7 linked regions of the Rattus norvegicus genome follow. The protein of the gene in region 5 interacts with the protein of the main gene of each other region in a biochemical or structural test. Links are inferred from orthologs where the notes say so. Each region holds a gene or a part of one and is shown on either strand. Other genes may lie near its edges.

Region 1 (4,212 bases), on a different chromosome or scaffold from region 5:
CCGTAACCCTAGTGTGGCACTGCTATGTCGACCTAAAGAGTATTTTTCATGGCCTGGAGCACTGAGAATCTCAGGAAGTCTACTTCAGAAGAAAGTGGGAGGAGGGGTGGGAATGTGGGTATGGTTCCCTAAAAAGACTCTACCATCACGTTCTCTGTGATTTGTCCAAAGTGAATTGTTGAAAAATAAAAAAAGTCTTTTTTAAAAATTGCACTATTCTGATGGCCTAAAGAAATGAATTATTTTCACCAGGGCTGCATACCTCTGATAGCTTGTTTTAAAAGACTGCTTTGACCTCCTCTGAGCCACCTAACTTACACATAACAGCACAAATGTTGTCTTTTTTTTTTTTCACTTATGCCCTTTGAAAACACCCTGAGAAGTGTTTCCATCACTCATTTTTAGGAAGGAGAAATAATTCTGAAGCAACATTTGAAGTCCCTCTGGATGGGAAAACTCATTTCCTAAGTCTCTAGTGGAAGCTTCCCAGTTCTTTTGTAAAGAAGAGTTAGCTTATGAGCTTCTCCCAACACTGTTCACTGCACTGTTCCGCACGTGGGACAAGCAGTCTTGAATTCTTCAGTCATTAAGGCTCATTCTGAACATCAGAAAATCATTTCCACAAGTCATGTCAGCCCCAGTGCACACTGCAAGCCAGTCACTTAGAAGCATATGTGCCCTACAGAGCAACCAAGTCTGGTCTTGCCAGGGCAAATTAAGCTAATGCAAGTGATCAAATAAAGACCTCCAGGTCGCTACGCAATCAGTGAGTCTCATGGCTGTTTTCAAGGGGTCCAGTCTGCTCCAACATTGGAAAGAGCTGGGGAGATTTAACAAGGATCAAAGCACATTTTCTCAAACACCTGGGCATTGCTGTTTGTCGGGAATGTTCAGTACCCCAACGTACATGACAGAGGTCAGGAATATGACAGGGTCAAAGAGAAAAGGAGGATGGAGACGGAAGCAAGGACTGCTGGGAAAAGCAAAACTGAAAGCCTGGAAAAGGACTGAAAACAGACGACCAGGAGCTGGAAACCACCTTTTATAAGCTCTACCCATTTTTATGAGGTCAGTTTCTCCACAAGTGGGCAAATCACCTATCAAGTGGCCAGAGCTCTCATAGCAACTTCCAATCCTGAAAAACGGGACTCTGTTCAAGCACATTTCAGAAGCTGAGAGCAAGACAGGCAGTAAGCTGTAACTCAAAACTTTACAGCTGCACAAAGTTCTCAATTCAGCTTCAGATCACTTCGACCTTTACTTTCTTCAGTCAAAACTACAGGAACCTACCAGGAGGTGAGAAAGTTTAAGGCGGGATTGTCCCTTGTGGTCACTTAGGAAAGACCCGAAGGTCTAAAACCTTAACTGTCTAAAGTGCACCTTCTCCATGTGTCCATTGGCTGCCTTCACTACATAAACCAGGCACAAGCACGAAAGTCCTGTTTCTAAGTCTGTATCTATAAACTTGGAAAGTGAATGGAGGGAGTGCCCACAGCGCAGTTCAGATGTTCTGATAAAGTAGTGACCTTTAGACTGGAAAACCACTGTTGCTAACTATACCAAAAAACCCAGGCTTGAAACACACCCAAAATTATTCTCATTCCTCTTCAAAATCCCAGCAGAAAAGCCTTCAGTGGGTGAGGAGCAGAGAAGTCTCCAAGGGAGGGTACCAGCAAGCCACGCCCACTGGTCAATGGGCTGTTTCTTTTTGGGTCAACCAAGGAGGCGGCCTGTGCACCTCCAGCCCAAACTCGGACCTGTTCACCACACACACAGATGCAAAGTTGGCAAGACCGGCCTTAAACCTGTTAGCAAAATAAGGAAAGTCAAATACGGAGGAAGCTGCCGACCTGAATGGGCTACGGTGACAGGGCCCATTCCACTTGGCGCCCAGCTGTGTTCCCAAGCTGTTCACAATACTACTGTTAAGTCACGTCTGCTATCCATTAGCCACCACCCGCGCACACCTTCCGGGAGAATCGTTGTTGTGTATAAATAAGTGTTTTCCAAATCAAACCCCTTCACACAATGCCAAGCTAAAAGTGCTCAAAAGGGAGGTGCCATCGGGACATTAAAAGTCACACATCAAATTCTTGCAGAACCACTTGCTTAAATCGCCCTGAATAAACTAAGGGGGCAGAACAACTGGGAAAAACTTTGGTTCAAGAGGTTTAAGTCTTGGAAATGCGGGACCGGGCGCAGGGACTGGAACCAGGCACAAAAGCGCCCTGAGCCGAGGCAAAGACCTCCTTTAGAGAACGTGACAGCAGCTTTGTGCCGGATCACGAAGTACAGTAAGTTCTCCCCGGCCATCGCAGCCTCCCGCTTCCTAGCGCTGTAGCCCTCGGATCCTAGGCTATTCTTCCCAGGCACGCGCGCCCGGCGACTCGACCAAGGTTCGGTCCCACGCCCGCCGGCAGGCCAGGGTTGCTTGTGTTCCCGAGGGCTTTCGGTCCTTGGTCCCCGTTGTCTGCCCGCGGAGGGCGCCCCACCCCCACGCCAGCCCGAGGCTGAGGGAGGCGAGGGCTCGCAGGAAGGTGTGTATCCGAGGTGCGGGTGCCCGGGGACGGCAGGCCGCGCCGGGGCCGAGGGCACTAGCCGGGTGCGCAGGGGTACGCGCTCCCTGGCCCTCCCAGGGCGGCCCCGGCCCGCCCACCCCTCTCTTCCAACTCTACCGACCGGCCCAAGTTTGCAGCCCCCGCCATCGCCTTACCTCGCTGCACAGTGCACGCCGAGGCCGGAGGGCAGCAGCGCTAGTCCCGGGGCGGCGGCCGCGCTGCGCCCGCCCAGATGCCGCTCTTTGTCTGCACCGCTCCCTCCTCCCGCCACCAAGCGGACGCAATTGGACCCGGCGGACCCTGCCGGCCCGGGAGCCCCGAGCCTGCCCGCCGCCGAGCCCACCCCACCACCACTGTCGCCGCCGCCGCCGCCCGCTCGGCCGCGCGCACCGGCCTGCGATCTGCGGCGGCGACCCTCCCGCGCAGCGCCCGCCTCCGCGCGCTCCCCGCCCGCGCTCCTCCCCGGCTGCCGTGACGCCGCCCAGGGGCCGGCCCATCCCGGCGCACGCGGGGCGGGGTACCCACCTGGGAGTCCCGGCCAGGCCTAGGGAAAGCGCCGCCTGCGGGCTTCAAGCCGTAACCCGTTCTAAATTGGAGTTGGGGGCACACGGGAGGGGCTGCAAGGGAGAATGAAGGGCCACTTCCAGCACACGAGACCCGGTGGTCTCCGCACCCCGGCTGTGCCTTGGATTCTTACAGCGATCTCCCTACCCCGCCTCCCCCCAAGCATTCCCACGGCACTCTCAGCCAAACAGGCCTGGTGTCTGTCAGAAAAGTGACTTACGTGAAAATGTCACTTCCTCCCAGTAATTGCTTGTGGGCATTTTCTTTATTTATTTGCCTTGCATTTATTTACTTTCCCATCCAGACACTTTTTTACTCCACCCCACCCCCGGCCCCCCAGGCGGGACCACTTCCTAGTGGGGGGGGGGAGGAGAGGAAACCCGACCTCTGCTGCCTCCGCAGCGCCCTGGCCAGCTTCTTAAAGCCCCGGAATTCTTTAGTACAGGAGGCTGAGAAAGCTTTAGAAGGAAGTCTCTCTCTCCCAGCCTTGAGTAATAGCTAACCTGTAAGCAAACTTGGAAAGCTAGAACCCTAGAGCGAGGGGAAGGAACACATATACCTTACACACCAGAATCCAGATGTTCCTTCTCCAAGCTCCTTCACTCATGATTCCCCAAAGGAAACACTGATATTCAAATGAATTCAGTTTTCCGGTTGGACAACTCACGTTTATGTTAATGAGATTCTACCCTATCTCTTGGCTCCTCCTTATTAAGGAAGGCAGCAGCAATACACCTTAAGTGACCAGGCAGCTGCCTCCCTCCCTAAAGGAAGTTCCCAGGCATAAGTAATCTGAGGAAGCTTGGCACCATCGTCATAGCAGCCTTTGACTGTAGGCTACCTGAACTGTGTCACCTTACATAAGTCTTTCACAACTTCCTCAGCTTTAACACATGAGATGTTTACCTGCCCTCTATGTAAAGTAGCTGGCATGTAGCCGATACTAGGGCATTGGGAGGAATCAGATACAAAATTAGCATACCCAACAGTCTCTTCCAGTCAGAGACGCTAACTTCATCCTTTGATGCAGACCTCATCTTGTTACTATCTAGCTTTGCAACAATGAAAGCAGAGCTCTAATCAATAGTTT
Region 2 (4,166 bases), on a different chromosome or scaffold from region 5:
TCAGACTGGGACTTACCATTAGAAGGAAGCGTGACAAGGCAAAGGCAGAAACAGTGATATCCAAAGCAAGACAATCTAATGCCCTGAATTTCTACGTAACGCAAATTTCAAGGTGACCGTTTGCAAACCAAAAGAATAAATGCTCTTAATCTGGTTTGATCTATTGACAGAATCCTAAAGGGGGTTAAAAAAAGTTCTCTGGAGGGAGCAAAGTGTCTCTCCATTCACCCCTTCTACCCCCAATCATATCATGATAGGAAACAAACTAAAATCTAGCCCACAGACATCATCCCAATTTGTTTCTGGGAAACGGGGAAGAATATATCATGGAGTCTGGTTTAGAGTCACAGCTGTGGGGCTACAGATACACAAGGGAGCCAGAGAAGAAACTCTAGACTTCCCTAAGAACATTAGGTAGCCCTGAGACGGATGCCCACCAGGTGAGTCAAGGCTGCAGACAGCCCTGAGACGTCTAACCTCTCCCCACCTGAACCACTGCCTTCACTAAAACATCTGAGGTATGTTGTGGACTTAGCGCCCTAGTTGAGAGATAAAGCTTGCTACTGAAAGAGTCGCTACCTAGTCAAGCCACCACCCCATCTCAATTCAGGAGAGCAACTAAGCTCTCAGGCCTTCCTAACGCTTGAACCCTTTAATTCAGTTCCTCAAACCATAAAATTATTTCGTTGCCACGTAGTAACTGTAATTTTGCTACTGTTATGAATCTCCCTCAGAAAGAAAGGGTCCTTTGGCTCGCACCCCCCTAGGGTTGCGACCCACAGGTTGAGAACCACCGGTCTAACCAGCCCATGCAAACCATTGATAAAAGCCACAAGTGGTGACAAGTGAAACAGAAAGTTCTTTATACCTTTACGATTCTGGGTCTCTTTAACATACTATGATGACATTAACCCAGATCCCTGTTGTTCCGTACTTTGTTGAGTACAATGTTGCAGTTAATCTCCAAAATATACAGTAAATATTGGGAAAACATCCGTCTACCTTCAGGAAGGCTCACGCGGGGTAATTAAGGTGAAACAGATCAGCAGCGCCTTTTAAGCGGGCCAGTGGCTAAACAATTACTCTCTGTTCGGTTTCTGTTTTGTTCTAAACCTTACTTAGGGTCCCTGCCAACAACCCAGGTTCTGAAATGCTGAGCGAATCCAAGGAGCGCACTAAGAAAATGTGGTTTGTTTTCTTCCTGCACGGAGCAGATATTTCTGCTTATCTCCTTTAGGCACAGACTGCACAAGTGTTGTTAATTTCCCTGAAGTACTTCACAATGTGTGTTGGGGATGCTCTAAGAGTCACAAGGCATCCAGATCCACTGTAGGGGACTGCAGAGGGACGGTAAAGACCCTCTCAGGCGCCACCCCTTAAGCATCTATTTAATAACTCTGACAAGTTTTGGTCACAGGCGACCTTTTATACCTCTTCTGACCAAGTCAATGTAATAGCCTTCCCTTGAGATATCTAGGGTGGCAGTGGCCTTTAGATTGCGCTCCGACGGTGGATTAAAAAGATCTGGTAACAAAAAAACCTTAACTCCCCCCACCCCTTTTTCATTCCATATATAATCGGTAAGCAATGGGGTTCAAAACCTGGGGTAAATTGTTCCTTTCTGACGTCTCTTGGGAAACTAAACTAGCCATCTTTTATCAGGGCAACCCTGAAAACTTCAACAGCTGAAGCCAAATTTATTCAGAGCGGACCTGAATCTTGGCACCGGGTCAGGTTCTGCGTGCTTCGCTGACCTTTAGGAATCCCTCTCAGCCGCTCTGGCTTTCTCTATCGCCGCACGCAATCAGAGCGATCCTAGGCTCGCACAGCGGCTGTCCAACCGCTTCCCTCCGCCCACCTCGCGGACGCCCGGGCGCCCACACCACCCTTTCCCCGACCACCCTCCGCGCAGCCCGGGCCCAGGCGGAGGGGCGCAGGCTCTCGAACCCAGAGCCGGTTCCCGCTTCTCTCGCTAGAGGGCAGACCCGGCCCGCTCAAAGTCCTCGGGCCGCAGGGCACGCGCAGCCCGTAGGGATCCCGCAATCGGAGCCCCACTCCCGGGCTGGGCTCCGCGATTGACGCGGGGACCGAGGGCAGAGCCCGGGAGCGCGGCGCACAGCCGACCCCAAGGGCCCCGGAGGGATGACCAGCAGGCTCGGGGTGCGGGAAGCGCACGGGCACCAGGTGGAGGCAGCCCCCGCACCGCAGCTCGGGGACCGGGTCAGGCGCCAAGAGAGCTGAGCAGGGACGCACGGGACCAGAGTAGGTGCCCGCCTGGGAGCAGCGGAGCGGCTGGCACTCACCTGGGCTCGGGTCGCCCTCGGCGGGCCCGGGCTTCCCGCGGGATCCCCGGTCCTTCTTCTTGCCCTTCCCCTTGCCTCTGCCTTCTTTGCGCTCAGACATCTCGCCGAAGATGAGCGCTCTACGCGGACCCGGTTGGGTGACGGTGACGCGCGACAAGTTTGGTCCAAGGGCTTGCAGAAAAGTTTGTCCCAGGAGGGGAAGAGCCAGTGGCCGGGCTGCTCGGGAGGCGTCGCCTGTCGCCTGCAGGAAGCAGCGTGGACTCGATCACCTGGAGCGTCCGCTCAGTCTGGAGTGGCTCGGAGCTGCTCTAGTGTCCCGGGTCCCTCCGCTGCCGGCTCTGGAGTGGCCTCGCTTCGGTGGCTTGTCTCGCTCTCTTACAGCCCGAAGAGGGAAAGGTGATCACAATCCGGTCTGCGCTCGCATCTCCCGGCAGCTGCGGCCGCTGCGCTGCGCTCGGCTCCTGCTGCCCGCGCGGTCCGGAGTTCCCACAAGTTTTGGGGAAGTCCTAGCCGGCTCTTTTTCAATTGCCCGCAGGTTGGACGCAGGCGCCTCCTTCGCACCCTCCCCTCGCCTCGCCCCCTCCCTCTTCCCCACCACACCCCCACCCCGAGGCGCAGACACGCCACCGGGAGGAGCCTGAGCTGGGCGATCGCGGCTCAGCCCCTTTCTTCTGGCAGCCCGGCCAAGCTGGGGGCGGCCGAGCCCAGCGGCTGCCGGGAACTCCCGACAGGGGTCGCTGGAAGCTGCGCTGACACTGCCACAGCCGCCGCCAGACCGAACGGAGCAGTCTGGAGAGCCCTGGAAGGGACGCTGGTGCTAGCAGTCCCTGGCAGGCTGCTGAGCTGATCCAAGCCTTGAAAAGTGCGTGGTAGGGGAAGTGAAGGGTGGAAGATGGAGAAAAGTTTGTAACTGTAGCACCTGCTCCACAATGATTGCTCTGGAGACCTGGAATCCCAGGGAGGGGGAGGAACAATTGCTATTTCCCAGAAGGGTTCAGAGTTCATTTCTCTCTGTTTTAGGGAAGTTTCTCTCTGGCACTAAGGGCGAAGGTGCAGTCTGGGGTGGAACGGAGTTTGAGGTACTGAGGAAGGGTTCTGTGAACTTCAAGCATGAACAGTTTGCACTGATGTACCATCAGCCACTTGAGCACGTGTCTGCCTTCCTGTGCCTAATAGCATGACTATTGGATTTCCCATCTCCATTTTAAATACTCACTCTAGCTTCTTCCTAAGCACAGATATCTCTTTCTACAACTTAATTTCCAAAAGAACTAATGAGCCATAATTCACCATCGACAGTAACGAGTCTAAGGTGTGTCGGTAGGGTCAGATCCTCGAGTGAGGGAGTGAGTTGGGACCGTAGAACAATGAACTGTGTAGTCCAGATCTTTAGTTCATTAATGCCACACACACACACACACACACCCCTATTAGACTTTCTGAGAACTGCTAGTGAATTCTAGTTTTCCTGTATCCAGGTAGAGAACTCTGAGGAGGAGTCAGAGGCCAGAGTAGTCCGCACCAAGAAGTGATTCACATTGGTCTCCGTGTAGAGACACTGTCATCAACACACACACTTGTGGCCAACTTAGCCTGCTCATTTACAGTGGTATAGAGTTGTGGTTGAGAAACAGCTCACACCAACGATCAATACTCTACAGCTATCCCACTTTCAGGGTGATTTGGCTCCTTCCTTTTGACTTCCTGGAGTTAACACTAACAGACCCATTGCTGTCTACAGCTTTCTCTGTGTTCTCTGGCTGCCATGATCTAAAGAAAGGTGAAATCCAGAGTACACCTTTCACACATGGGTGGGAAGGGAAGTGGGCAAGGTGTTCACTTAAATCGTCTTAAGAATCATTT
Region 3 (2,223 bases), about 130 Mb from region 5:
TGCCCACGCTTACTTTCTCTGGTTGTCTGTCAGTGTGATGCCTTGAGCTGAGACCTTGAAGTGGACAATGGCTGGCACTGGGACAGGGCTGCAGCTCAGAGCTGCAGAGCTGGCCCTGGCCACAGCTTGAGGGCCAGTCAATGACTCTGTCTCCACCGAGGTCAGGTAGAGCACACTGCAGGCTAAAGAGAGGAGGTAGGTTAATGAGCTACATGCTTTTGCCAGGACCTGGATCTGTCACCCATTAGCTTCTTATCCCACCATATTGGGCACTTCCCTGACCAGTGCTGCCTGAATGCACTGGAATCACACACTGACAAATTAGAATGGCAACTTCCAGACTCCAAGGGAGCTACAGCCAGTAACACTGGGGGGAGGACTGAGGAGACACACTTTAAGTTCTTGCCTGTTGCCGCTGTGATTCCTGTATTGTAAACCCTGAGAACTTGGTCAGTGACCCCCTTCCTCACCTCCTGAAAACACGGGGCTCCTCTGCCTTTGCAGGTTAAATATACCTGCTGGGTCTGCCACCCATACCCCTTTCAGTGCCCCTCCCTGTACCTGGAGTCCATGGTATCCTCTTAACTACCAGGGAGAGGAAGGGGAAAGCAAGGATCTACCTGCTCCCTGGCGTAGGAGGTCTGCTGCCGTGCTCATGTTGGTGGGCACTGGGGCCTCTGAGGTTTCTTCCAGAGGATCTGAGGAGATGAAGGCCACCAAGGAACGTCAAGAGGGAGAGGCTCTCCAAGCCACCCTGAAGTAAGGTGGAGGAGACGGATCACTCACCTTTACTAGGAATTCGCAGACAGCAGGGCAGGGAGATGGGAGAAATGGAGTGCTGTGAGACCAGGGCAGACAGGCTTCCTGTGAGGGGTTGGGGGGAAACATCATAGGGGTCCACAGTCAGAGCTTTCTCTTCCTTTCTTTAGGTCTCTCCTTTAACCATCCACCCTGGAACCCCCTCAGACTCTTGGTTCTCACCAAAATAGGGCTCAGTGGGACAACCCTTGATCTTCACACCTTTGGGTCCAGTCTCAATGAGGAAATGGCGGACCAGCTGTTCTGAGGGGTCCCCTGAGAGGAATGAGGGGTTGTAAAAGTAAAGCTTTATGGGACTCCAGGATCTCAGTTTCTCCCCACAGGACTCTTTCCCAAGCAGCTGCAGGCTTGCCTCAACCCTTCCCCACATGGAGATGTGCTGTGCACCTCCTCACTCCCACTATCCCAGTCCTGCAAATTCTCCCCTCTCCACATCTGCACCTTCAGCTTGAGAGCTCTGTACCTTTCCATGGCTGGGCGCTGGGTGGGGGTGTGGCCACTTTGAGGGCTAACCCATAGGCTCCCTGGAAAGAGTGACTGTCTCTGATCAGGAAGGCCCCAGGATCCTTGTCTTTCAGCAGGGCAATGGCTGCAGGGCAGAAGTTTAGAGATGGCTGTCAGCCTCAGACAGTCCCACTAGCAGGTTCCCAAGTTTCTCACTCTGACAGCCGTGGGGGGCTGCGGGAGTCTGGGGCCTTGGGTCATAGGACTTTGAATAATATTTAGTCTGAGGCCCAAATTTAGAATCTCTTTTGGGGAGTAACCCAGCCAAGAGCAGAGACAGAAGGAACCGAAAGCCCTACCAGGATGACAGACTTACAGCCAAGACGGGCCTGGGAAGTGGACTGGGATGGGCACATGATGTTTTCTGGCTTCTTACCTTGGTCTCGGGAAAGGTGAGGCTTGTACCAGAACTTTGATGTATCCTGGACAAACTTGACACTGCTTTGGTTCTCTTGTAAAGGGTGCTCTAGAAGAGGGAGGCACTGATTCAGACACCAGGGCTTCCCATGGTCTCTCTCTGGACAGTGAGATTCTTTAAAGGACACCTGGTCCTCCTAGAGCCTTATACCTGGGGGTTGGGTGACATCTGGGAGAGGAGATGCAAAGGTGACATGCTGATTGGTGCCTCTGGCTGGTGGCGATGACTGCTGCCCAGACCCCGGCAGGTGTCGTTTTTCAGGAAGTGGAGGCTGAGTGGGACCGTTGGTCTCGTAGGAGGTAGCCAGGGGAAACGCAGGGGTGGGTGAGCTCTGAGGTGGTTCTGGGCTGCCCACAAGCCAGGGCATCTGGGTAGGCACAGGAGTAAGAGGGGAGCCATCTGGGCTATCTGAGGGGCCCTGAGGGCCCTGCCATGGGGCATGGCGGAGTCCGGGCAGGGTGGTTGGCACAGGGCTCCGAGGA
Region 4 (3,500 bases), on a different chromosome or scaffold from region 5:
TGAGTACTCTGGTAATCTAATTTGCAGTTCTTGCTATAACAGCAATGTCCGTGGAAGCAAGACCAACAGACACTTCTTTAGCCTTGAATAAAACGGCGCCTGCTACATCCCTCACTTGCTCTCTCCTGTTCCCCAGATTTGCAGGGTGAACTGAAACGTGATAACCCCCAGGACCTGCCAGGTCAAGGCCTGTTTCATGATGCAGCACAACTGAGAGCAGCCCAATGGAGGCCACAGGCCATTCCAGAGAGGGAGGGCTGCACTTTTATGATGTATGCATGATGCTCGCTTATTTTCCAGTGCAGTTTCCAACTGTGTCCACACTGCCCTGCCCCACCACATTCACTTTATCTATTTATGTGATTTCCTTTTTGCTGTTCTGAGATGAACCTGTAAACGTGAGAACTCAGGGGTCTGAGGTACTTCACATAAACACACTCAAGTATCAGTCTTTCACTGTTTGAGAACGAGAACACAGGAAAACAAGTCCCTTTCCCTCTCCCCTCAGAATGTGCATTTCCCCACTAGGCTGACAATGGCTACCTCTGCACCACATCACTAATTTCCTGTACACATGACAATAAGTTATTAAGGACAGGGTTTGTCCCAGGCACACCAGCAGCTGTGGAAGACACCTGCAGCTCCTGTAAGCTAAGTTCCAGTTTGCTCACAGCCTCTCGGAAGGCAAATTTGTTGCGAGTGTGGGGGATGCAGTCCACATACCCTGAGCAGTAGTGGAGTAGCTGGTGCCCAGTGTCCACCAGCTGGCTATGGGGCACAGGTTCTGTGATTGCACTGGACAGTAGGCCGGCACACTCCAGCAGGGCCGCTTTGCTGATTTTGTCAGCTGAGATTTTCTCAGCTGCCTGTTTGGTTTTCCTCAGGGCCACCTTAGTACCTGCTGTGCCATTGGCCATTTTGGCTGGCGAGATGGAAGATGTGGGCAAAGGCACTTGAGGTGGAGGCATCACTGGCCTCCCAGGTTTCCCACTACTGGGCACTGGCCCTGGAGCTGCCTTTTTTCCTCCGTCCTGGGTGTCTGGAGTGTGCTGTCCTGCAGGGGGGGCAGTTGGCTCTTCCTCGGGGTCTGAGCATGTGGACGGATGCTGCAGTAGTCTCATCACTGGTGGCGGGGGTGGGGCACACTTTGGTTTTACCCGTCGGGGTCGGTCCTTGTCTCCAGAGGATGTGACCTGATGCTCAGATAAGAGCTTGAATTTGTTCCCCTGAGAGTCTGTGCCAATGAGCTGCACATCAGCTGCAGTGTGTTTCAGAGTGGGTGAGATAAGGACTGGCACTTTGTGGTTGTGAGTGGTTGGGAGGACAGCTACAGCCTTGGCTGGAGAAGACCAGCCTGGCTGCTCTGCGTCCTCTGGGACTCCAGCGACTCCAAGCCGCGTCCCACCATTCCTCTCCTTGCCTTTGGGGGCAGCTGCCACTCCAGCCACCCCTACCCCTGGACAGTCACTCTCAGTGATGGCTGGATCAGGGGCTCTCAGGGCAAGAGCCGTGGCTCCTCTGGGCAATAGTTTGGCTTTTGGTCTCTCCCTGGCTGGAGCAGCACCTTCCTCTGATTTTTTTGGAAGCATGTCATTAGCCCTGTCCACATTCTCTTCTGGTTGAGAAGAGGTGGACACTGTCCTTTCCAGCTGGAGTTTGGACCTCTGGCAGTTCCTGGGAAGGGTCATTGCCATCCTATCCTGCTCGGGGAGCCCTGAGGACATGGAAGATGTAGAGTTTGACCTTGGAAAAGGCTTGGAAGTGTCATCACTGGCTGTCGGTTTACCTGCTCGCAAGCCCAGTGTCTTTTTGATTAAGCGAGGTGTAAAGAAGCCTGTGATACCAGACCACCCACCCGCAGCAGTGCCACTACCCCCACCCCCACCACTGTCATCATCACCACAGAGGTTCCTCTGTGCAAAGCTCCCCCCATAGCACTTGGCTGGCACCAGATTCGACTCTTGCTGGCCGGGAGTGAAAGAGAACCCATCAGCATGCTGCAGAGAAGCAACAGGTGAGAAGTTACCCGTGAGTTCATATTTCTTGTGGGGCTGATTCTCCATTTCTCGAAAAGAGCTGCTGCGCTTAGGGGGCATGGGGGCATTTCTTTTTTTCATGAAGGAGCTGAAGAAGCCTCCCTTCCTGTCCCTGGTGAAGCATGTCTCTTTGGCATCTTCTAAGAGGCTGCTGGGTGACTTATCTCTTTGCTTTCGAGGCAGAGCTGGGGACCCACTGGAGGCCTGGGTGCTTCTAATGAACCCTGCTGAGAAATGGCCAATTAGTAACAGAAAAGCCAGTTAGTGTGACTACCTTAGAAAGTTCCGTCTGCATTTCTTGAATGTCAGATGTTGGCACTACTCAGGAAGTTCACAAATAAGTCACTGACTCAGTGACTAGTGTTCCAGCCGTGATTTGTACATTAGTGCCTCAGTAGTACCTGCTGGTCTCTTCTGTATTTGTCCCTTCTATAGAAGATAGGTGTACACCATCACCCATCTGGGTAGCTACCTAGGAGCCAGGAACTAAACAAACAGATCTGGTAGCAGACTGCATAGGACTGGATAAAACTGCCCACACTGGCAATGCAGACCCAAGGCCAAGTAGCATTGTGGTCCTTTGTTCTTCAAGGGTTACCCTTTCTGCTCTGCCCCCTCCTACCTGGTGCTGAGCTGGAGGCCAGGATCTCGGAGGCATCAAGGCCCCCATCTAGGTTCTCTTTGTTCTCCCCCTGCTTCTTCAGGGTCCTTGTCTTGGAAGGAAGTAGTGGCAGTCGAGGCAGGTATGGAACTACAGATGAGGAGGAGGCAGTTCTCCCAAGCTCCTCAGCTACCTCTGTGAAAAAGACAAAGTCTGGTAAAAAGAAAAGAATTCTAAGACAGAGACCAAGGCATATAATTGAAAAAAGAAAAGCAGAGAGCTGAATACTGAAGTTCGTAAAAGCAGATGGGTGTACAGGCTGCGCTATAGTCCCAGCTGCTCAGAAGGCTGAGGCTGGGGGATCTCTTCAGCACAGAAATAGGAGACCAGCCTTAGCAAAATGTCATCTTGAAAATTACAACAAAATTATACAAAGCATAGAAATGAAATGAGCGTATGAAGTCTTATGTGTGACCTCACCCATGGAGGGAGAGGCTGATGCCGGGCCTCTTCCCCAACAGCTCTTCACCTTACCCTTTAGAAAAGGGTCCCTCGCCAGCCTGGAGCTCAGCTTCAGCAGAGAGCTCCTACTTCCAGCTCCCACACACAGGTATGTGCTGCCACGCCTGGCTTCACACTTGGTGGCTGGGGATCTGAATTCAAACACTTCACTAACTATAATAATAACTATTATTCCTGCAGGTTTACTTTTCATTGCATGTGGCAGGATCCCTTTCTCGTTGCCATGAAATATTCTGATGTGTGAGACTACCAAAATTCATTTGTCCTCCTCTCGGTGTTTACATAGGATGTTCCCAGTTTGAGCTATTATAAATATGATACTTGTTCTGTGACTCAGGGAC
Region 5 (2,401 bases):
CGAGGAGATGCGAGCTTTCCAGGGGCCTGGACATCACGCCCCCCATGTTCGTTATGCCCGCCTCAAAACTCTGCGTAGTTTAGAAGCCACCGACTCTGCCTTCGACAACCCCGATTACTGGCACAGCAGGCTTTTCCCCAAGGCTAATGCCCAGAGAACGTAAACTTCTGCTCCGTGACGCTCTGCGGGCGTGTGGCGGCAGCTAGTGCCTCTTCGAGGGTACCCCTTCCTCATCCCTCTCTCTGAGGTCCCACCTCCATTTCTCCAGTCCTGTACAATGCCATCCAGTTCCTAGAGACTTGTCAACATATCCCCGCAAACTTTGCGGTACGTAGCCCTGTGTGTCTCCTCTCCCAACCCCGTTCCTCCGCTTCCTCAGGGACTCTCCCTGGAGATATGAAGGATTGCTCTCTGGACCCTTTTGCTCAGGTTCTTACTCATGGGGATTAGACTCTTAAACGTCGCCTTTCCTCCCCATCAGACTCTGAAGAAGGGAAATAGAGGAAAGTACACATTTTATGAGACTTTTAATCCCAGGGGAAGATTTAGAAGCTTAAAGCTTTGAGGAATTAAAGTTAAGAGTAGATACCAGTAACTATGAACTGAACATTTACTGTGAGTCAGGCACCTTCATGCTGAACTCTGCCTACAGTGTCTCAATTATAATCTTTCCAGTTTTGTGAGATAGAACTGATCCCACGTTTCACCAATACAGACTCTTTTTGAGTGTTCCAAGATAGCCAGTAGGCCCCTGAATCTGTGAATAATATTGAATCCTGTGGTTTGTTTTTTTTTAACATTTTAGTTGGTGTACAAAACTAAGTTCTGTGTTTAGTAACTTTTCCATCTTAAATAAGAACTTATCGTTCTTTTTAGTTTGAGGTGCCACAGCAGAGGTTGTACTAATTTTTCTATTTTTCTAATTTAATGTATTTTTATTATAGACATTACCATATGATCCCCTCCCCCATGTGAAGTCAAGAACTTCCACCTTTTCTCAAAGAAAACGCTTCTCTTTGACATGTCTGAGTTGGCATGACTACTCCTGCACTTTGGGCCTGTTTTTAGATAAAATGGGTCTTTGAACACAAGTAGTATGGTATTGCTGTCACTCGATCTAATAAGCAGGTGGGTAATTGAGTACAGAGCAAGTAGGTTATTCAGTGTGGGCGCACTAGGCAGAGGGATGATTCATCTACCAAGTGGGACAGGAAAGGGTGGCTGTGACTTCATCGTGCTACTCAGAATGGTGTACGATGTAAACTGTAGGGATTATTTATTTCAGGAACTTATCATTCAGCATTTTCAGATTGCAGTTGATCACAGGTCACTAAGACTCTGGACAGACAGCAGAACCTCAGAAAATGGGGGACTGAGCCTTGAAGAAATAAAGCAACAGGTCCAGGATTCAAAATCTTCCCATTTCTCATACCTGTGCTTGTACTATAAAGTGTTGTGTAAAGCTGGGTCTCACTCTGTCAACTGGCCTGAAACCATGTAGCCCAGGATGGCCTAGGACTCCACACACAGCAACCCTAGCTTCACCTTTTGAAGGCTGTGGCTACCAGTCACATTTCTTTATGCACTGAATCAAGCAAATGCTACCAGCCACTTTTCCTCCAGCACCCAGGCCTCTCATCTCAGGAAGGAGTGGAGACTAGATAGAAGGACAAGTAACCAGACATGTTTGTGTAAGCCGCAGGCCATACATGTTGCAGATACATACTCCTTACAAGCCAATTCGCAAAGGTTCCAAGACTTGTATTTTAGGAGCTGTTCTCAACCAGTAATGAGATGGGATAGAAAGAGGATCCACCTTCAGACCTCAGTCTTCCTGGATGGGAACTGGGGGGAAAATGCTTCTTGTACCATTAAAGTTTTTTTTTTATACTGTCTAAAAATGTCAACTTTTTTGATTGTTTTTGTGTACTCCTGTGAAGTGAAAAATGCATGAGGCCGTTCCTTTTCTTGGCTTCTTAGCAATGGATGGCTTTCTCTGCTTCTGACACTCTGTAACAAGTAATGTTCCAAGGCTTTTATTTGTTATGTTTTTATTTTTATTTTTTAAAGATTTATTTATTTATTGTATACAAGTACACTGTAGCTGTCTTCAGACACACCGGAAGAGGGCATCAGATCTCATTACAGATGTTGTGAGCCACCATGTGGTTGCTGGGATTTGAACTCAGGACCTCTGAAAGAGCAGTCAGTGCTCTTAACCACTGAGCCATCTCTCCAGCCCCATTTGTTATGTTTTTAAGATTTTAATTATGTGTATGTGAGAGAGTGGGGGTTTGGGAATGGTGTTACGTTCACGGAGTGCAGTGCCCAAGGAAACCAACACAGTGCTAGAGTTACAGTCATGTAACTTGTGCTTGTGCATGGGTGCTGGGAACTCCCT
Region 6 (2,590 bases), on a different chromosome or scaffold from region 5:
TGTCAGTTTCCACTGCCAGCTCTGGGCCTGCAGCCCCGCCTCCTCTGGGTTGGGAACGAGGCCTTGGGTGCCAGCTAGTGGCACCTGTGCACAAGAACTACATCTACAGACAGTGGGAAGAAGCCAGGGCTAGCTGTGGCTGACAGGAAGCCTGTGACAGCCTTGTGTGTGGTGGAAGCAGGGCACATCTGAGCTGGGGAAGGCTGACAGCAGCAGCCTGTAGTTCTCTGGAGGGAAGGAAAATGGTTACATTCACAAGTTTGCCTCTCTGCACAGCTGTGAGAGAGGGGTGTACTGGTTGTCAATGGCCCGAAGGTGGCTCCGTGAGGAGGAGTCCATTTCATAGTCTGAGTCCCGGGCACTGCTCACAGACTCAAGCTCCAGCTGCCGCAGACTGTTGGCCAGTTCCTCAGGAGAAGGCACCAGGTGGAAGATCTGCTCAGGAGGTGTCACTTGGCCACGGAGAGCCTCTGCACCATGGCCAGGGGGACAGCCAGCAGAGCTGAGGTGGGGATGGCCCAGCTCTGAGTCCCAGTGAGGAAGGGAAAAGGGGAAGAGAACGGTGTTGGAGGAACCTGGAGAGATAACATGGATGACTCCATGAAGAAGGCGTAACCAGGAAGGAAGTTTTGTACGTGCTGTACTTGCTGTGACACCACCCCTTGACACAACTTTGGGCTTCCTACCTGGTGCCTGAGAGACGACTACCACATAGCCAGAGAGTCGGACATCACAGGCTGCTCCACATTCAAGTGGGATGGGGGAGCGCTGGAAGTGGCGGAGCATATCCACCACCGAGGGGAAGTGCAGGTGTTGCACCCGGCACTGTCCACGCTCTGTGAGCACCAGGCGGAGGTGCTGTGGGAAGGGGTAGAGATCAGCCTGCTGCCCAGGCTGCATCTGCCCCACCCTGGTCCCCCAGTTCCTGCCCCTACCTTGGCTCTGCCCTGTAAGTTGAATGTGAGTACATATTCCCCTCTCCGGGACTCACTCTGCCGCACCAGGAACACACCGTGGGCATCAGGGCCCTGCAGCTGAACCAGCTGTGCAGCCCTCACCCTGGAGATGGGGCCGTGGAACCAGGGGTAGCAGGACAGGAAGTGATCTGTTTTCTGGCAGGCTGGGTCCAACATCACCCCAGGTGAAGCACCTGGCAGAAAGATGGTGGTGGTGACCCGCAGAGGGGCCACATGTCCAAGGACACCCAGAGACCAAGGATCTGGCACATACCTTGGTCCAGGGAGTCCGTGCTTCCCCTTGGGGATATAGCTGGGCCAGGCTCTGCCACTAAGGAAAGAGGTAACTCTGTGTCCAGGTGCTCCAACCTGTAGGGGAAGAGGCTGGTGAGAAGGGGGCCAGCAGGGGTTATCAAAGGGAACCAGGGATGGGCAGGTCCTCACCCTAGGCCTGTGCTTGCCCTGAGTTCTGCCAGCCATGAGTTCAGCTGCTGTTCATCTCCCACCTCAAAGATGATGTCTGTCTGGCCCTGCACCTGCAGAAAGGAGGCATATAGCTCTGCACCTGAGGAGACAGCAGTGTCTCCCCAAGGAGCCACAGCCCTGGCGCTCACCTTCAACACAAAGGTGTAGAGGTTGTCCGGCATCTCCAGGCGTGTGCAGGGTCGGACCTCCTGGATGCTGGAGCAGGCCTCTTGGAGCTTGGGCTTTGAGCTCTAGGAGAGCAAGAGGATCATTCAAGGCTTCCCCCCGCCCCCTCAGGCCTCTCAGGTAGTCTCTCTAGAGGAAGGAGGCACAGAACATCCTTCTCTTACAACTTCCCACCTATGGGAACAGGGCTCAGCAAGCTGCAAGAGTCACATATACCACAGCTTGGAGGTGCCACCTTTCTGGGTTTGGTGAGTTCCACAAATGCCAGTTCTCAGGGTCAGAGTTCTGGGGGGGGGGGGGGAGCCACCCTTTCCCTGCCCTCTGGTCCTTTTTTCTTGTGATAAGATTGTCCTTGCACGGGGGCTGGGGATTTAGCTCAGTGGTAGAGCGCTTACCTAGGAAGCGCAAGGCCCTGGGTTCGGTCCCCCAGCTCCGGAAAAAAAGAACCAAAAAAAAAAAAAAAAAAAAAGATTGTCCTAGCTGGCTGAGCAGGCTGAGGACCAGCTTCAGCAGAGGCTGAGATAATTAACTGGCAGAGCCAGAGAAGTAGGAAGGACAGGCCTTTCTCCTCCCTCCGTGGCTTTTGTCCCAGGTTAGAAGACTACTACCAGGTGCATCAGAGCCCAGCTTTAACTCTGCTCTCTGCAGAGTCCACTCCCATGCCACTGGCTTTGGTCAACCGCCTGCTAACAGAAGTGAAGGGGGACCTGCTGGAAATTGGCCAAGTGGATAAGACATGACCCCCACTCCTGTCTACAACTGCTGTGTGCTGGCCAGCATCCAGACTCTTCTCAACTCCCTATGCAAGCCTTAAAAGGATCAGAGTCGCAGCGCCTGTCCTGAGCTACCCGCTAGAATGCCTGACCCTGCACTAGGCTGGGGACAGGGTGCCTAAGCACTGCCTATGGTCCATCTGCTCGGACTTCTGAGGGAATGCAGGTTGTGGGAGGATCTAGCCAGAACCCTAAGTACATTTGGAGGCC
Region 7 (4,115 bases), on a different chromosome or scaffold from region 5:
AGTGGGTGGGACTCAGAATGTTGCTAACACAGGGTGGTACTCAGAAGAATTCATGCCCAATACACACTACAGCTAAACGCGTGCCTACACGCATGCGTAAATGAATGGGCGACACTGGTGGTCTAGCCCGGCTAGAGGAGGACCCCTGTACGTTTCCGCAGGTGTGTATCGGGCGTTCAGAGTGTTGGTTCCTGTCAGATGTTCTCTACCCTCTTGTCCCAGGCTGAGAGGAATGCCATGCAAACAAGGCCTCAGTGGTCTGCGGGTCAGACTTCCTCTCCTTCAACTTGGGAGGTCCTCTGAGCAGTCCCATATTCTGCCCAGAGAATAAGACAGAGAGCTCCTGCAGGCGCCAAACTTTGCATGGAGTTTGAATAAGCGGCGGGTGGGCAGATGGAGGGAAAACCGCTGCGTGTGGGAGGGACCAGAGGGCCTTGGAGACCCACCAGAATCCTGGAGGGCGTGGTTAGACTTAAAGGGAGCTACATTCCTTCTGTGGCTGGTTTAGAATCTTTGAAGTGAAGGGCAGAATCCGTTGACCGCTCAAGTGCAGGATTTGGGATTTATGGGATTAGGATCCCGTAGGCGGGAGTGGACGTAGTACAAACTATGGGGAGCGAGGCCCTGGATTCCATCCTCTGGAAAACACACACACACACACACACACACACACACACACGCCCTCGAGATTATAAATCTAGAGAACAGGGGTTAGGACTGGGAGCTGAATAGAATAGAGGTTAAAAATTCTTCGCCAGGAGGAGGCGGGTAAAGATGCCTGCTGCCGAGCATGGCTCCCTGAACTAATTCCTGGGGACTGGCAAGATGGAAGGGGGGAACCCTAGTCTCCAAATTGTCCTCTAACCTTTACACGGCACAGAAGCTCGAGGGTAGTTATACACATACGCATACACGTAATCAATCAACCAATCAATCAATAAATGTAAAATATTACAATTCTTTAGAGGCCGCAAGGGTATGGGGTCTCTTGAGTAGGAGGTCAAAAATCCCTGGGGGCGTAGGGTTTAGACTCCTTTGCACCAGAACATTCCATCAGGTGGGGCTTAAATGCGTTAGTGGGGGTGGGGGGACTGGGAATCTTTGGAGGACCAGTCAAACATTGGAGTCTAAGTCAGTCCTTCAGGGACTGGTTAGCGCCCTTGAGGACAGGGTTAGCATAAAGATGCTAATTTCTTTGGAGTGGGTTAAGAGCGGGAAACCAGAGAGCCAGAGTGAGAGTTAGACTCTTAGAGGGCGGAGTCAGGGCATTTTTGGGGCGGGGTTTACATCATCCAGGGTGCGGCTAAGGCGCCCAGATGGCCAGTGAGCACCACCGGGTTGCCGCTCCCCGCTTGCACTTTACGGTTGCGGCTCTCAGACGGGTGGGAGGGAACCAAAGTCGCCGGTAAAGGCGGCTCTGACCCGCTCGGAGCGCCAACGCAGCCTCCGTAGCCCGCAAGTCTTCGTCGCTTGCTCCGGGCTCTCGAGTCCGGGGCCACCAGGGGCCGCGGCGCTGGGGGGTCGTTCGAGCTGCGAGGATCCGGGCTGCCCGCGAGGCGAAGGGCGGGTGCCCAGGTGAGTGCGAGGAGGAGGCGAGGGCGGGAATGGGACCCCGATAACGTGCAGACCTCCGGGGCAAGGAGTTGGGATCCTGGGTGAGCTGTGGGGGTGGCGAGGAAAAAAGGATCGTCCTAGGGGCAACCGATCGGTGGTGGGATGCGCCATTCACAGAAGGTGGAGAGTGCCCAGGTGGCCAGGTGAGGCGAATTGCTGCCACCCAGGGCGACCCTGGGATAGCTCTAGATAGAGGAAGCTCAGGCAGGGGGATGACAGTGCTGAGCTGAAGCTTCTCTGCTCGACCAGGTTCCCCTTCTGCGCACACACACACACACACACACACACACACACACCCCAAGAAGAAGAAGCTGGAGGGGAGGGAAAAGCCCGGTCGGTTCCCATTAGTGGTGGGTGGGTGGCAGGTCACGCAGGGTAGGCAGCGGGCAGGGCTGAAGGAGCAGCTGGGCCAAGACAAGCCCATGCCTGCCACACCCAGGCCTGGCTGCAGCTGTACGTCTGAGTCCCCTCTTTTACATCTTCCCCTGCCCTCCTGGCTGACCCCCTAACAGGTGTACACCCAACTCCAGAACCCCTTACACAAGGGCCACAGTCTACCACCATCTCCTCTTTGTGACCCTGGGGCACGTCGCTGGTTACTCTCTGGATCCCAGCTTCCTCCTCTGTAAAATGGGCTGTTTTCTTCTGAAGCTGAGTTGTTCAGAGAGGGCGAGCAGGTCTGCTGGGCATTGGACAGGCAGTCTGGCTTTTCCGTGCCTGTTTTTATAGTTGCAGGATGGGGATGGTAAACTACTCCAGATCAAAGGTGTTTAGGATTTTGGAGTGTGGCAGAATTCTGTATCTTAAGTGCACAGTGAGGCATCTTGGGGATAAAATCTAAGTTTTAAAAAGATATTTGTGTTTGATTCATATGCTTCTGGGTGGGCGCACAGGTTGGCGTGTACTCTGGTGTACTCATGGTGGGCACATGAAGGCCAGAGGACTCTGTGTTGTTCTTCAAGTAAAGTCCACCTTGCTTTTGGAGACAGGGTCTCTCATTGGCCTGGGGCTTTTGCTGAGTAGGTGAGGCTAGCTGGTTAGTGGGTTCCAAGGGTTCGCCCGTCTCCTTCCTAACACTGAGAGCTGAGCAAAACTCCCAGCTGGCTTCTTTTCATGAGTTCTGGGGTTGTAACTCAGTTCCCACTTTTTGCAAGGTACTCACTTTACCAACTGGGCTATCTTCCCGGCCCCATGATTTTTACATTTCATTCTCATCCCTTGGAGATAACTAGGGGCACATTTTTAATGACTCCTCCATTTTTAATTCAACCCGTAGCCACTTGGATCATCCTGTCGGTGCCCAAAATGTTTCAGGTTTTAGAGCATCTCGGATTTAGGCTTGGGAATTCACTTTGAAAGATGAAATAAGAACGGAAGGAAAGGGAGCCCAAGGGGTGGCTCTGCAGCTCAGAGCACTCGCTGTCCCTTCAGAGGACTCTAGCTAAGTTCTCACCCATCAATCACAGCAATGCCTCGAACCTGCCTATACCTCGAGCTCCAGGGAATCCATTGCCCTCTTTTGGCTCTGTAGGCACCTGCACACATGTGGTCTGTCTCTGTCTCTGTCTCTCTCTCACACACATTAAATCTGAGAGAGGGGGGTGGAGAAGAGAGAAAGATAGCTGAAGGAAATCTCTCGGAGCACTCTGAAGTGTACTTTCCCCTGTTCCCGTTCAGCCTAAGAGATTCTCATACCAGCATCACCAAGAAAGCATGTCAAAATGCCCATTGCTAGGGCAACCCCGAGAGGGAGGCCAGGGGGTCAAGATACTGAGGACTGGCAATCTCCAGGCTGTTGATGCTGCCCAGAAATCCGACTTTGTGAATCACTGCCCAAGCCTAGGGCTAGCCTAGAGAGGCCTCACAAAAGAGCAGTGGCTCTCTAGTGCCCTTCTCAACCATGCCCCTTCTCTGGAGGAGGAAGCCTGCTGTTTAAAGGAATATATGTCCCGGGAACCTACCACCCAGAATTAACTAATGTCGGTGTGTGGGTATGTTTGCTTCAGACTTTAAAAAGTGAAATGGTGGGTTGGGGATTTAGCTCAGTGGTAGAGCACTTGCCTAGGAAGCACAAGGCCCTGGGTTTGGTCCCCAGCTCCAAAAAAAAAAAGAACAACAACAAAAAAAAAAAAAGTGAAATGGCTAAGTGTGCTGGGTAAAAAAAAGTCCCTGCTTTGGATCCCCTCAGTTCTTTTTCCCCCTCTACAGGAGACCCCACTGTCAAAAGCCGATCCTTCCTCTCTGTGCCTCAATAAACAATACACAAATGCGTCCTCTGAGCTGTAAAGATTACAGCAGAGCCCAGTGCAGAAGCACACCTGCAACTCCAGAACTTGGGCGTAGAGGCAGGGGGAGCAGAAATTTAAGGTCATCTTTGGCTATAGCAAGAGTTTGAGGCCAGCCTAGGCTATAAGACCCTGTCTGTAAAAAAAAAAATAAAAAATAAAAAAAAATAGAACAATCTATATCTGTTCACTTTGGTCAACAAGGGTTGCTTCCCA

Evidence for each region.
Region 1: the proteins of Erbb3 (region 5) and Nck2 form a complex in vitro, tested with the Homo sapiens proteins (2 studies listed by BioGRID and IntAct, with this or other methods). The link is inferred for Rattus norvegicus from reciprocal best matches to the Homo sapiens genes ERBB3 and NCK2.
Region 2: the proteins of Erbb3 (region 5) and Nrg1 form a complex in vitro, tested with the Homo sapiens proteins (8 studies listed by BioGRID and IntAct, with this or other methods). The link is inferred for Rattus norvegicus from reciprocal best matches to the Homo sapiens genes ERBB3 and NRG1.
Region 3: the proteins of Erbb3 (region 5) and Tns2 form a complex in vitro, tested with the Homo sapiens proteins (2 studies listed by BioGRID and IntAct, with this or other methods). The link is inferred for Rattus norvegicus from reciprocal best matches to the Homo sapiens genes ERBB3 and TNS2.
Region 4: the proteins of Erbb3 (region 5) and Abl2 form a complex in vitro, tested with the Homo sapiens proteins (2 studies listed by BioGRID and IntAct, with this or other methods). The link is inferred for Rattus norvegicus from reciprocal best matches to the Homo sapiens genes ERBB3 and ABL2.
Region 6: the proteins of Erbb3 (region 5) and Sh2b3 form a complex in vitro, tested with the Homo sapiens proteins (2 studies listed by BioGRID and IntAct, with this or other methods). The link is inferred for Rattus norvegicus from reciprocal best matches to the Homo sapiens genes ERBB3 and SH2B3.
Region 7: the proteins of Erbb3 (region 5) and Hck form a complex in vitro, tested with the Homo sapiens proteins (2 studies listed by BioGRID and IntAct, with this or other methods). The link is inferred for Rattus norvegicus from reciprocal best matches to the Homo sapiens genes ERBB3 and HCK.

Annotation. Positions count from the first base shown.
Region 1 is NC_086027.1:53,205,567-53,209,778, reverse strand, and holds the start of Nck2 (cytoplasmic protein NCK2), read right to left. Parts: upstream 2,801-4,212; 5' UTR 2,714-2,800; intron 1-2,713. UniProt on the Homo sapiens protein: Adapter protein which associates with tyrosine-phosphorylated growth factor receptors or their cellular substrates. Maintains low levels of EIF2S1 phosphorylation by promoting its dephosphorylation by PP1.
Region 2 is NC_086034.1:66,811,276-66,815,441, reverse strand, and holds the start of Nrg1 (pro-neuregulin-1, membrane-bound isoform), read right to left. Parts: upstream 2,801-4,166; 5' UTR 2,404-2,800; coding exon 2,304-2,403; intron 1-2,303. UniProt on the Homo sapiens protein: Direct ligand for ERBB3 and ERBB4 tyrosine kinase receptors. Concomitantly recruits ERBB1 and ERBB2 coreceptors, resulting in ligand-stimulated tyrosine phosphorylation and activation of the ERBB receptors.
Region 3 is NC_086025.1:135,122,559-135,124,781, reverse strand, and holds part of Tns2 (tensin-2), read right to left. Parts: coding exon 1,892-2,223; intron 1,790-1,891; coding exon 1,700-1,789; intron 1,409-1,699; coding exon 1,283-1,408; intron 1,075-1,282; coding exon 982-1,074; intron 865-981; coding exon 787-864; intron 699-786; coding exon 621-698; intron 183-620; coding exon 14-182; intron 1-13. UniProt on the Homo sapiens protein: Tyrosine-protein phosphatase which regulates cell motility, proliferation and muscle-response to insulin. Phosphatase activity is mediated by binding to phosphatidylinositol-3,4,5-triphosphate (PtdIns(3,4,5)P3) via the SH2 domain.
Region 4 is NC_086031.1:71,310,949-71,314,448, reverse strand, and holds part of Abl2 (tyrosine-protein kinase ABL2), read right to left. Parts: intron 2,833-3,500; coding exon 2,659-2,832; intron 2,264-2,658; coding exon 540-2,263; 3' UTR 1-539. UniProt on the Homo sapiens protein: Non-receptor tyrosine-protein kinase that plays an ABL1-overlapping role in key processes linked to cell growth and survival such as cytoskeleton remodeling in response to extracellular stimuli, cell motility and adhesion and receptor endocytosis.
Region 5 is NC_086025.1:1,578,579-1,580,979, reverse strand, and holds the end of Erbb3 (receptor tyrosine-protein kinase erbB-3), read left to right. Parts: coding exon 1-163; 3' UTR 164-1,901; downstream 1,902-2,401. UniProt on the Homo sapiens protein: Tyrosine-protein kinase that plays an essential role as cell surface receptor for neuregulins.
Region 6 is NC_086030.1:40,409,656-40,412,245, reverse strand, and holds part of Sh2b3 (SH2B adapter protein 3), read right to left. Parts: intron 2,026-2,590; exon of another isoform or gene 2,003-2,025; intron 1,673-2,002; coding exon 1,571-1,672; intron 1,493-1,570; coding exon 1,401-1,492; intron 1,326-1,400; coding exon 1,231-1,325; intron 1,151-1,230; coding exon 936-1,150; intron 859-935; coding exon 687-858; intron 576-686; coding exon 253-575; 3' UTR 1-252. UniProt on the Homo sapiens protein: Links T-cell receptor activation signal to phospholipase C-gamma-1, GRB2 and phosphatidylinositol 3-kinase.
Region 7 is NC_086021.1:162,030,518-162,034,632, forward strand, and holds the start of Hck (tyrosine-protein kinase HCK), read left to right. Parts: upstream 1-1,315; 5' UTR 1,316-1,513; coding exon 1,514-1,575; intron 1,576-4,115. UniProt on the Homo sapiens protein: Non-receptor tyrosine-protein kinase found in hematopoietic cells that transmits signals from cell surface receptors and plays an important role in the regulation of innate immune responses, including neutrophil, monocyte, macrophage and mast cell functions, phagocytosis, cell survival and proliferation, cell adhesion and migration.